Coturnix japonica: one gene and its partners. The main gene of each other region encodes a partner of the protein of the gene in region 3 in a complex. Links are inferred from orthologs where the notes say so. Each region holds a gene or a part of one and is shown on either strand. Other genes may lie near its edges. The genes, in order: CNOT6L, CNOT6 and CNOT9.

Evidence for each region.
Region 1: CNOT9 (region 3) and CNOT6L share a complex: the UniProt entries of both Homo sapiens proteins name them as parts of the CCR4-NOT complex. The link is inferred for Coturnix japonica from reciprocal best matches to the Homo sapiens genes CNOT9 and CNOT6L.
Region 2: CNOT9 (region 3) and CNOT6 share a complex: the UniProt entries of both Homo sapiens proteins name them as parts of the CCR4-NOT complex. The link is inferred for Coturnix japonica from reciprocal best matches to the Homo sapiens genes CNOT9 and CNOT6.

What each region holds. Positions count from the first base shown.
Region 1 is NC_029519.1:30,849,222-30,853,326, reverse strand, and holds the start of CNOT6L (CCR4-NOT transcription complex subunit 6-like), read right to left. Parts: upstream 2,836-4,105; 5' UTR 2,767-2,835; intron 2,518-2,766; coding exon of another isoform or gene 2,028-2,517; exon of another isoform or gene 2,013-2,027; intron 739-2,012; exon of another isoform or gene 591-738; intron 170-590; exon of another isoform or gene 1-169. Other genes in the region: MRPL1 (39S ribosomal protein L1, mitochondrial), read left to right, coding at 2,028-2,517. UniProt on the Homo sapiens protein: Has 3'-5' poly(A) exoribonuclease activity for synthetic poly(A) RNA substrate.
Region 2 is NC_029528.1:4,242,853-4,246,454, forward strand, and holds part of CNOT6 (CCR4-NOT transcription complex subunit 6), read left to right. Parts: intron 1-37; coding exon 38-142; intron 143-227; coding exon 228-296; intron 297-1,416; coding exon 1,417-1,574; intron 1,575-2,112; coding exon 2,113-2,267; intron 2,268-2,932; coding exon 2,933-3,087; intron 3,088-3,544; coding exon 3,545-3,602. UniProt on the Homo sapiens protein: Poly(A) nuclease with 3'-5' RNase activity.
Region 3 is NC_029522.1:24,240,991-24,245,197, reverse strand, and holds the start of CNOT9 (CCR4-NOT transcription complex subunit 9), read right to left. Parts: upstream 2,879-4,207; 5' UTR 2,770-2,878; coding exon 2,746-2,769; intron 1,144-2,745; coding exon 964-1,143; intron 1-963. Other genes in the region: USP37 (ubiquitin carboxyl-terminal hydrolase 37), read left to right, coding at 3,286-3,441. UniProt on the Homo sapiens protein: Component of the CCR4-NOT complex which is one of the major cellular mRNA deadenylases and is linked to various cellular processes including bulk mRNA degradation, miRNA-mediated repression, translational repression during translational initiation and general transcription regulation.

The DNA of each region.
Region 1 (4,105 bases), on a different chromosome or scaffold from region 3:
ATTTGTTTGGATGTATCCCCCGCCCTCTAAACTTCAGCAACCTAAAAGTCTCCACAAGGCTGATCTAAGCACCAGTTCTGTGCTGTTACAGGAAATCTGCTCTAGAGCTGTGCATGTTACCGACACTATCACTGAAAGTAAAATGTTCTCAGAAAAAAGAAAAAGCACCTCCCCATTTTGCACAGTGACTCTGAACAAGGAAGACAGCAGCTGCAGAGACCCACCTCAATGTAAGATGTTCTTTGCAATCCTTCAGGTTTAAATTAGGTAAAGACACACCCTGGTGTGCAAATTCATTAACTCTTCTCCAATGGCTCCCTTTTATTTTACCTCCACAGTCCACAGACGCGTTGGGATCGTGTCCTGGCTGATTTCTGTAGGACTGGTGTGAGAGCTGAATATTGCTGTGCTTGGCAAGCTCAGGGCAAAGCCTGCCCTGCTTTTTATAAAAGCAAGATCAGTAAGGAAAAACAGCCAGAATCCAAACAATAAAAAAAAAAAAAAACAACACCAGCTTATCGCCCGAAACGAAGCTTTACAAAGATCCTTGCAAGGAAAAATAAACAAATAGCAGTCATAACACCACTTACTTCAGCAACAGAATGGCCACTGCAGATGTTCCCGAGCTCCTGATACCCGGGGCAGGGAGAGGAGCAGAGGCTGGTGGCGTCCCCACAGAGACAGACACACCAAGTCCTCCCACCCTCAAGGTGCTGAGCTTTGCTGGCAACCACACCACCGCCGCTACAGGGAAAAACACTCTTCAAAACGAAAACAAGCCCTATCAGTAAAAACGCACTTCTGCAGATAACTGCATCTACAGCAGGGACTTCTGCTGGCACAGCTATGTCACTCAAGGGTCACACCTCGCCACAGCGTTCGCACACAGAGCTGTGCCAGCAGAAGTTTGCCATATAGGCCTGGTGTGAAGCTCAGCGGACCAAAATGAATCTGCAAAGTTTGGTGTTTTTCATAGTGCTGCCAAACAAACTTTTTCCAGCAGTCTGACAACGAGTCCTCCTACTCCTTTGTTACAGGCACATCAGCATCTCAGTTTCTGAGGGGAAAGGAAACCTAACAGCAGCCCAAGGATGTGGCAGTACCTATCATCCACTTACATCATACTTTATACTTCAGTGAAATTCACAGCCCTTGCAGGAAGAAAAGGCAAAACTGAATAATGTTTGTTCTGTTGTACTTCAGCACTCTTCATGCTACAACTCCTCACTTTTCATAGTGAGAAAAGAACATAACTGATAGTGTCAAATGGGGTTTGCTTAGCGAGCGGCACAGCGCTGCAGAATTCCCACCTCTAAGCATGACCTGGCGGTCACGAGACTTCCATCAACCCACAACCAGTTCTGAAGACAGCAGGCAAAAAGATTTCACACCTGGGTAGATATTGGAACATAAGTTCAGTTCGGATGAATCAACACAGTACTGTGGGCCACACATACGGTGATGCACAGATATGGCAAGGTATGGAGCAGTATGACATCACCAGCACACGCCACTCATTTACTCTGGAGCAAAATGACACAACCAAGTAGCAACATCCCATTACCCTCGGCAGGACGCAGAGAGCTTGAGGCATTTGCAGTACCACAGCTCTCAGTTTGGAGAGCTCTGATAAGGCACACACCGGCCTGCAGCGGGGCACAGTGGGAACAGAAGGGGCTACGCTACCTCTGTCAGTCTGGAGTGCCGCCAGTGCATGGCCATGCCCAGCGAGCTGCCGTGTGGACGGACAGTACTCTCAGTACAAGGTTCACCATCACATCACATTTTGGGAGAGATACAGGGAGAAAACATTAGTGGTGCTGTGTTTGCAAAGGCCACACTCCAGCCCTACCAAAGCCCTCCAAACATGGGTGCTGCTTCTAGGAATTCCTGGGCTTTCGTCACAGTGACGACACTCTTACTGGACACAACACGCTTTGTATTTCTTTGTTAAAAAACTTGCACAGGGGTAAAAACATCTGCAAATGCTAAAAACAGCTGCGTTATCATTACTTTCATTATTGGCCATGTCTACACAAGCCAGGAGCAACTCAAGGCGAGCTGCTCCCCTCCATGCTGCCTCAGGGTGGGGGGCAGCTGCCTCTCAGAGCTGTGCTGGGCACAGCGGGGGCAAACTGCCCACCCCACAGACCGCATGTGGCCACGGGCCTCCTGTGCCAGCAGAGACCAATCAACACAACTTGCAGCTCCTAAAAGTGGACACTCAGTCTCCAAGTTTCAGCAGCGGGCAGACGAAGCTGCTCGTCCCGAGGTCCCGGGAGGTCAGACGGAACGTGGCCGAGGTTTTTGGGCGATCAGACAGAACACGGCGGGGCCGCCACACCGCGGGACGTGCTCCGCCATGTTCCACAGAGAAGTTTCCGAAGCAAGCCCCGAATTGCCGGTGCAAACTCGGACGTTCGTGCCCGTCCTCGCCTCCGCCAGCAGCCGAGCGCGGGGCCGCGGCGAGTGAACCCCCCTGGAGGGAAGCAACGCTCCCCGCCGCCCGGCGCCCAGGTGAGCGCCCGGCCCGGCTCGGCGTTGGGCCCGGGTATCCCGCACGGCCGCGCCCGGGCCCCGAACCGGGGATAACGCGCGGTCCCCCCGCCGCCCCGCATTCCCTCCGAGCGCTCTCCCTCCTCTCCCGGGCGGGCCCGCCGTCCCTCAGCCGCCCGGCCGGACACTGGCCCCGGTGCCGGCGGGCGGCGCAGGCCGCGACATGGCGGTCCCGCTCCCCGCCAGGCCCCGGCGGGCCGCGGAGCTCACCTGCATCCGGCGCGGCGGCGGCTGGCGGCGGGGCGGCGGCGGCGGGGCGGCGGGCAGCAACGACATGCGGGCGGCGGCCCGCCGGGGACGGGGAACGGGGCGGCGGCGGCGGCGGCTGCGGAGGCGGGGAGGAGCGGGCCGGGGCTCGGGCGGCGCGGAGGGCGGGGGAGCGGGAGGTGGGGACGGGAGGAGGAGGCGGCGGGAGCGGGGCGGGCGGCGCGGGGACCCCGGGGAGGCGCCGGGACCCCGAGGAGGTGGCGGGGAGCCCCCGTTGGGCCCTGCGGGGCGGCGGCTGCTCCTGGGGACGCCAGTGGGGACCCGATCGTAGGGAGGGAAAACAGCCCTCCGTGGGTAATTGTCGTTAATTACGGAGAGCGCCGTCTGACAGGGCGTACGTGAGGAGCAGGTCGCCCCGCGAAAGGCCTCTGGCAGTCGCGGACAGACTGAGGAAGTGACTCAGGTGTCGGGGTGACGGGGCCCCGCGCTCAGCCTGAGCCTCTGGGGGCGTAGGGCTCGTCTGGCATCACCTCTGTCTCCACAGGAGGTGTCCCCCTGCTGCCAAACCCTTTGGGCACCGCGCTGTCTGTGTCTGCAGAGCCGTGTCAAAGGGCAGGTAGAGCAGGTAAATGGTGTGTGTGCCAGCTTTGGAGCACAGTGTTCTCCAGCTGGGCACACCAGAGGTGGAGGCGGCCTTCCTGTGGGGACCATGCCTAAGTTCTACAAGAAAATGTGTGGGTGTCGAATGAGGGAAAGATGGAGAGTGGATTTTAAAGGGGGAAGATAAATTATGATAATAAAACTAGGGCAGAGAAAAGTGCAGGTCTTTGTGGGTTCACCTGTGGGACCAAAATAGTCGTATGTGAATGAGGAGCACAGAAGGAGCCTCCATGGTAGAGCACAGTTCAGCCAGCTGTGTCCAGTGTAAAGGAGTGGTTGTGAGCGGGTGCACACATGTACAGAGGAGGGCAGAGGGAGAGAGAAAGCAAGAAAAAAACCTTCAAGAATAACTTTACTGGGATGCGTTTTTATAGGAGAAAAGTCGTGTGCTGCCTCAGAAAGGCATGGGCACTGTGACTTCTATGACAGCTGCGCCTTTGGCTGGTCTGGTCATTTCCTCTCCTGAAAAATACCCACCCAATGGCTCACTGAAGGGACTGTACCTTCTCTTCTCCCGTTGCCTCTGTTAATCATTCTGTACATCTCCCGGCTCCCATTACAGGCCAGGGCCTCGCCACCCTCACCCCAGGTATTGTTTCCCTCCCTTCTCCAAAGGGAGCGTAACTGAGAAACCAGGTTCTGCAAGTGGCTGCCCAGGGTCACTGCTGGCAGGACCAGCATC
Region 2 (3,602 bases), on a different chromosome or scaffold from region 3:
TATACTTCATTCAGCGTTTCTGTAAATGTGTTTGCAGGAAATCCACTCACGCAGGACATTCTGAACCTTTATCAGGAACCAGACGGGACGCGAAGGCTACTGAACTATTTGCTTGATAATTTGGCAGGTACTGCAAAAAGAAGTAAGTGATCATTCTTAAAAGATTTATTCCTGCTGTGTAAGATAAATGTGATTATCACTTTTGTCTCTTTAAAATATTTCCATAGTTTCAACAGAACAGCCACCTCCAAGGTCTTGGATTATGTTACAAGAACCAGACCGTACCAGGCCAACAGGTACTGTAGTGCTTCAAGAAAGCTTTATTCATTTTATATCAAATGTTGATCTCTGTTATCTGCTACTAAAATCTTAATGATGCTTCAATTAACCAGTCATCTGCCCAGTGCTGATAGACAGTTGTAGTAGCCCTGTCCCATCTAGAACCTCTGCTTCAGACTCTAAGTTCCTTTTAATTAGCATACTCTTCACAGAAACAGAAATGACTGTCCAAAGTGAGTCAGTTAGTTGAATTGTAACAGGCTTAATTGAACATTTGTCGAAGAATAAAAAATTGAAGACCATGATCTTAATTCCTCAGAAAGGTAAAGATTTTTCTTTCAAGTTCCCTGTGTGTCATCTGACTCCACGCTTTCTTGTTGTTTGATCTCAGGCTCTGTTCAATTGTTTACTAATTTCTTCTGCATGAGTTGTTTAAAATAAAGCCTTTTCTGTTTATTACCATGCAACTTTTTCTGTTTAACTAAACCAAATATCCGTGCCGTTTGGTTACCTGCAATCTTGCCCCAGGCTGTCTCATTATATATCCCTCCTGTTCCAAATTAATGCTGAGAAGTAGGTTTCTCTTTCCTTTACTTGTAAACTGTAAGGTTTTTGAGATGGGGGAAAAAAATTGTGATTTTATTTTACCTATATTTGTATTTTGTGGGAAGGATTCCTTGCCCTAAGTGTGAATCTGTGAAATTATGTGGATCTGTTTCAGCTGGTGGTACAAATTAGGATAGCTAATGAACTTATCCTAAGGTATGTAAAGTTCTCAAATAGATTATTTAAAATCAGTTTGAAACTCCTTGTTCAAGGCTTTCCCCAGTTATGCACTACTTAATGTGAAGCATATTTTTCAACTGTATATTGCATTAACCATATAAAGAGTTCTTTTGATTTTTGGTTTCTGTGTACATGTTAGTAAATGGCTGCCAGAAATCCCAACCTGGAGGTAATTTGTCCTCCTGGAAGGACTGAAAGATGCTTTTATAGCATAGGTGCAGGTGCTGTGTTTTGGTTGAAGCAAATGAAACATGGATTCATAGGTCCAGAGAAGACAAAGGAGAAGAAGATAATTGTATGTTTTTTTGTTGTTACTATAATCAGTATGTAAGTGACGTTATTGTTCTGCAGCCTTGTTCTCTGTCATGTGTTACAACGTGCTGTGTGATAAATACGCTACCCGGCAGTTGTATGGCTACTGTCCATCTTGGGCGCTGAACTGGGAGTACAGAAAAAAAGCCATTATGCAGGAAATCCTGAGCTGCAATGCTGACATCATAAGTCTTCAGGTAAAAGATATACTGTTATTTCTTTTCCCCTTCCAATTCTCACGTGCTGGTTTCTCTGTATTAAATATATTTGCTGTAACTGGTATGTTTTTCAAAACCCTCTGAAAACAAACAAAGAAAAAAAAGAAGTGGTGTTCAGAGCAATATTTGCTGCTTGACATCAAAAGAATGCTTTTCAGCCCACACAGTTGGGATGTGAACCAGCAGCTGCTGATCAAAGAAATGTATGTGGGGGTGTCTGTGTGTGTGCATGTGAGGGTATAATTGACACATTTTCAAATATAAGGCTTAGGATAATCATAACTCTGGGGATTACAGAAGTTCATTTATATTTTCTTCTTAAAACACGAATATTGCTCTCAAATTTGTATTCTCCAGTGTACTTAATTCTTAGGAATTCTTATGTTTTTTTTTTTTTTGTTTCTTTTTCCTTAATTCTAATTTGAAACTGATTTACACTTCTGAAGAGTCTAAATAATATCAGTCTTGTGTGGTTTGGTAATAGTAATTCACTGTGTGCTGTGTTCTGACTTTATAGGAGGTTGAAACTGAGCAGTACTACAGTTTTTTCCTGGTAGAACTGAAAGAACGTGGCTATAATGGATTCTTCAGTCCAAAATCTAGAGCTAGGACAATGTCCGAACAGGAAAGAAAACATGTCGATGGTTGTGCAATATTTTTCAAAACAGAGAAGTAAGTGATTTGGTTTATTAAGCTTTCCATTGCCTCTTGTTCTTTTCTACACGATTTCTTGGGTCATTCAAAAGTCAAAATAGTTTGCCACCGCTCACCCTTTCTTGTAGCTGTTTGGTTTTAACAAGTCAAGAGTTCAGTAAATTATGCTTCAAATGCTGTCATTACACATTAAAGATGTTTGCGTTTTAATTTTTATTTAAAAAATATATTAAATATCTCAAAAATGAATTCTCAAAAAAGAAATCTCAAAGGCTGAATTCAGACTACAAGTGGCGGTCATGGCTTTCCTTCTGTCCTTCTCCTTCGATTCCTTTTGTGTACACAGCGATGCCACAAGCAATTATCTAGTTGCTATTAAACCAGCAAGTTTGGACTAGAATCTTATGCAGAATGAAAATGAAGCACTCTTTCAGTAGTTGCTCCTTCTTTTTAAAAAATAAATGTTTTCATTAAAATCAGCTTAATATCTTTAAACAAACAAAGAAACAACTAGGAAAACAGTATCCTTTTGATTTCAGCAAATGATTTTTATGAAATTATAGGATGGGCTGAGACTTTCTCACTGTAAATGTGTTTGAGCTTAATTAAGAGGTGAATTTGTCTGTAACATTTCCTTTGGTGGCTGTCTACTGAAGGAAGTGTATACAATGTTCCTCTTTCAGATTTACTTTGGTTCAGAAACATACTGTTGAGTTCAATCAACTGGCTATGGCAAACTCGGAAGGCTCAGAAGCTATGCTGAACAGAGTTATGACAAAAGATAACATTGGAGTTGCTGTGTTATTAGAACTGCGAAAAGAACTGATAGAAATGTCATGTAAGTGCTGTTTAATATTTGATTGTGCGGTATTTTATCAATTGAAACAAACCAACCCTATCATCGTTTAAACCATACATCTTTTCCTTAGACATACAGTGTTCAAACTTACATTCACCCGTTAAATCCAGTTTCCTTTTTACTGCAACTTTGTGCTGGAAAACAAACAATGAAAGCACTGCAGTTTGAGGGATTCTGCTTGGAGATGTGTAAAGGTATCAGAGAACGAGTTGATATTGGATTATTCCTAATGCTTAGAATTGACTAAAGCACTGAGCACTCAGTAGTTACAAGAGGAGTTGTGTAGCCCTCTTAAGCTAAATGTTAGTAATCCTTTTCAAACAGCTGGTATTTTTTTCCCACCCTCAAACATCTTGTTTAAAATCAAACACAGGTAAATATGATGGTATTTTCTGTTGCTGGCTATGCAAGGTAAATATTTAATTTTAAATTTTAGCTGGAAAGCCGCATCTTGGGATGGAAAAGCAGCTTGTTCTTGTTGCTAATGCACATAT
Region 3 (4,207 bases):
TTGATGAGGGGTCAACAGAAATACAGCCAGACTTTAATTTTAGCTACCCTCTCCAAAAAGGGCTTATTTGACTTCCTGGCTCTTTGCGGATGTGGGGATGACTTTGTTTTGAATTCTTGGAGCAAAGAGGAATGCTGCTCCTGTGCCTAGAGGCAGAGCACACGCACTTCATTCATACCATAGCTGCTGGTACTCCTCTAACTCAATGAAGGGGAAGCAGCTGAAGGTGAGAAATCCAATTCAGAAAACTGTCTGTTTCCAGCTATGGCTCCCTTAGCATTTTCTTCACTTGTTTCAGGGCCACCCTGTTTTCACAGTCTGCCATTGCCTATCCTGCACCATTTTCCTTTCTTCTTCAAATGAAATGACAAGATCCAGCAGAGGTGGGCAGACATCAGCTGTAGTTTACCCAGAGCTCAGCTGAGCCACTCGCTTTGACCAGAAATGCACTTAGTTTTCTTTGCAAGGTACTCTGGAGCAGTGAGCTACAAGTACTTCCATACTGCCCCCATGAGGGCTCTGTAATGGCAACCTTTTGATCAAGTAGTACTCAGACTCATAGGAAAATAAAGAAAAAAAACTCCACAGCACAAAGCAGAGATGTTAGGAGTAAAACTATTGTGGTTCTGCTATGCCACTACAAATAGAAAAGGAATATTATCTACAAGAAGTTCATACACAGAAGAACTCGGCTACTCCCCTTTCACCTGTCTAAGCCATCTCATCAACAATCTTATGGCCTGGTCTCTAAGGACATTACCTTGCAAGAAATGACTAATGGAAAACATTAGAAGTGCCCTCCTTGTGTGGTTCCTCTCACCATGTGATCCAGCAGCCATCATACTCACAGTAATTGCACGAAGGGACTATCAGCGCCTCCCCAGATCCACCCCGTGGCCACACAGAGCTGTGCAGTGTGGCAGCACTGTGCCACGAAACAAAGCTGAGCTCTGCCCTACCCACCTGAAGGAGTGCTGCAATGGTGCCAAATGAGTGCCACAGCATGGGGGCAAGGTCAGGCACAGACTCGCGCTTCTTGCTCAGCTCCAGCAGTGCATTCTCCCTCGTCTCAGGGCTGGACAGCTCGTTGATCCACTGGTAGATCTTCTCACGGTCCACCTGAGCCAGTGCTGTAGGCACAGGCTGGGAGGGAGACAGGAAAACTTCAGTCACAGCTGTTACAGCAAAGTCCCACCCAAACGCTTCTCACAGCCTCAAAGGTAAAGAAATAAAAAGGTCTTGAGGAAGTGGCTGGGGGAGGGAGGGACTCAAGCTGCATTAAGAAACTGTGGATATAGATGATCCTTTAGATTAAGCTTAGTCCTTCGCCTAGCTGAAAGACAGATGTTTCACTTTCTGGCCTACACAGACAGCGTGGTGATACAGACCAACTATTTGGAGGCAAACATGCATTAAAGCAAATGCTTCATGTACCACAGTGCCAGCAATGCTCCTTAGTGAACACAACAGAGCTCAGGAACTGACAGCAACAGGAACCCAAATGAAGTTCCCATTGCTGCTGGAGGGAGACCATGTCTTTGGGACACCCCCCCAGAGCCTTCCTTCTCTCTCCTATTCCTACAGCAGTTTCCCTGCTCAGCTACCCGCACATTATGCTTATGATCCTGTGGGATATATAGAGGATTGAAGTTGCCATTTAGGCTACAATATAAGCTGATATGCTGTTACCAATCCCGACATCTCAGGCCTCTAATACCTTCTACCTGCTCACCTTTCCTCCTATCCCCTTTTTTTACCTCATCTACTCTATTTTACTTCATTTCCCCCCCCTAGAACCTCACACAGAAATAATAACCCTAACAATCTGCTGTACAAGGAACACAATCCCAATGGTAACACCGATACCACAGCTGGGAGAGAGAGGGCGAACAGACTGAGCTCATTTGTTTCCATTTGGGATGGCAGTGCAGCACTAACGTTGTTATAGCCATGTTATCTAAAGCTTCCATCTATTTTGCCAGACTCTCTGTAAGTTTCAATTCCTGCAAGCTTAAATATATCGACCCTTTAAAAGCACAACGGTGTGTCTACGATCCCTAGGGAGCACTAAGCAGATTTTCCAAGCTATTAAGCTTACAATGTCCAGTATCAGTCTTATCTCACAGAATCACAGAATGACCCGGGTTGGAAGGGACCTCAAGGATCATGTAGTTCCAACCCCCCTGCCTGGCAGGGCCACCAAACATACACATTTACTAGATCAGGTTGCCCAGGAGACCCCATAGACCCCCATAGAGACCCCATAGACCCCCATAGACCCCCATAGAGACCCCATAGATCAGGTTGCCCATGGCCCCGTCCAACCTGGCCTTGAACACCTCCAAGGACGGGGCATCCACAACCTCCCTGGGCAGCCTGTTCCAGGCCCTAACCACTCTCCTAGTGAAGAACTTCCCCCTAACATCCAACCTAAATCTTCCCTCTTTCAACTTAAAACCATTTCCCCGTGTCCTGCTATCTCCCCAGCCCAAAGGCTCTACTATGCTCAGTCACCATTCTAGCTAAAACCAAAAGCCGCATTTCCTCCTCATTTCCTCTTTCCTTGTTGCTCACCCTAAAGCTGTGTGGAAGCCCAAGGCCTACACACAACTTCTGAGGCGGCCTCCCCCCCCCTCGCCCTCCCGCCGTCTCCTGAGACCCGAACGAGGAGCTGGGCCGCCGAAGTAGCCCTTAGAGCCCCGTTACCCCCCCTAGAGGCCGATCCCCGTCCCGGTGCCGTCTCACCGCTGCCGTGCCCAGGCTGTGCATGGTGCCGCCGCTCAGGCCCCCGCCGCCATAGAGACACACCGGGAAGGGGACGCGGCCTGCAGGAGGGCGAGCTGCGCATGCGCACAACCCGCAGCGGGCAGCAGGCCGCTCTCTAACTGCGCATGCGCGCCGGTGGGAGGGGGGAAAGGCAAAGCACCGCTTCTGAGCATGCGCAGTTGCGGGGCGTGCCGGGAATGGCGCCGCCGTGCTGACGTCAGCGGCGCGCGCGCGCGCCTGCGTGCCGTGCGTCGCGCGGGGAGCCGGTTCCCGCCATCCGGCGCCGCGCCCCGCAGGTACCGGGAGCCAACGCGGCCCCTCACGGCGGGGCCTCGCACCGACACACCGTGACGGGGCCGCGTCCACAGGGGCCGCCTCCCCCTTCACCGACCCCACTCAGCTTCTCCCCGCTTTACTCCCGGGAAGGCCGCGGCTCGGCGTGTCGGTGAGTGCCGGTCCGTGGCGGTCCCGCTCCACACGTGTTGTGATCCCCGCAGGTTGTGTCGGTGAGGCCCCGCCATGGCCCTGCTGAAAGTACACGGCCCCGTGAGGCTGTACTGCATGCAGACCGGAGTGACCAGGTGGAAGGAGGGCTGCTTCGAGGTGGTGGAGAAGGATAACAAAGTCAACCTGGTGGTGCACTACGGCATGAGGGGCATCCCAAAGACCTTCCAGGTGGGTGCTGCCGTGCCCGGTTACCGGCTGTCACTGCTCATACTGCCTCCTTCAGTAGGGCCATCCCTCGGTGTAGCATTGAGTTACTCAGTTCTGGTGTTATGGCATCTGCTGGATCAGAAGGGCCGAGCTGCAGGTGTGGAGCCGTGGCTCAAGTCTTGTTTTGGGATGTTCTCTCTTTGTGTGCAGCCTGGAGGTGGAATCCCACTGTTTGACCATGGTGCTGTGCTCCTTTATTCCTTATGTGCCTTCCCAAGGTTCTCGTTCATGCTCTGTTCTACCAGGTTGAGTTTTGCTGTTGGTAGTTTAACGCCTGGAGCTGTGGTTCTGTGGGAGCCTGCCCAGCAGCTGTCTATGCCTGCAGGGATAGGCTTTGTGTCTGCCTCTCTTCTGGCTCTGGCGCTCTGTGGGAGCTTGGAGAAGGGTTTTCACTTGGATTGGCCATCACTATTTGGATCAGCTGTGTGGCAATACTCAGGTTGGGCCACTTTAGGAGGAGGCTCCAATCTGATGGGCAGCCTCTTGCTCTGCAGTGCGAGGTTTGGCTGTGGTTTCAACTTGCAAGGATGTCATTGTGTAGCAGCGTGTAGTTCATAGGAAAGGCCACAGAAGTGACAGAGATGAATAACTAAGTGCAAAAGGACGCAGGAGTTGAAAATGACTTTTTGTATTGACACACGTATGGTTCCTTTTCCACCTCCACCTCCTTGTGAGTGACCTGGCAGGAAGCAGCAGTTGGTTCATGTCGTAATACAGTGGTGCAGCA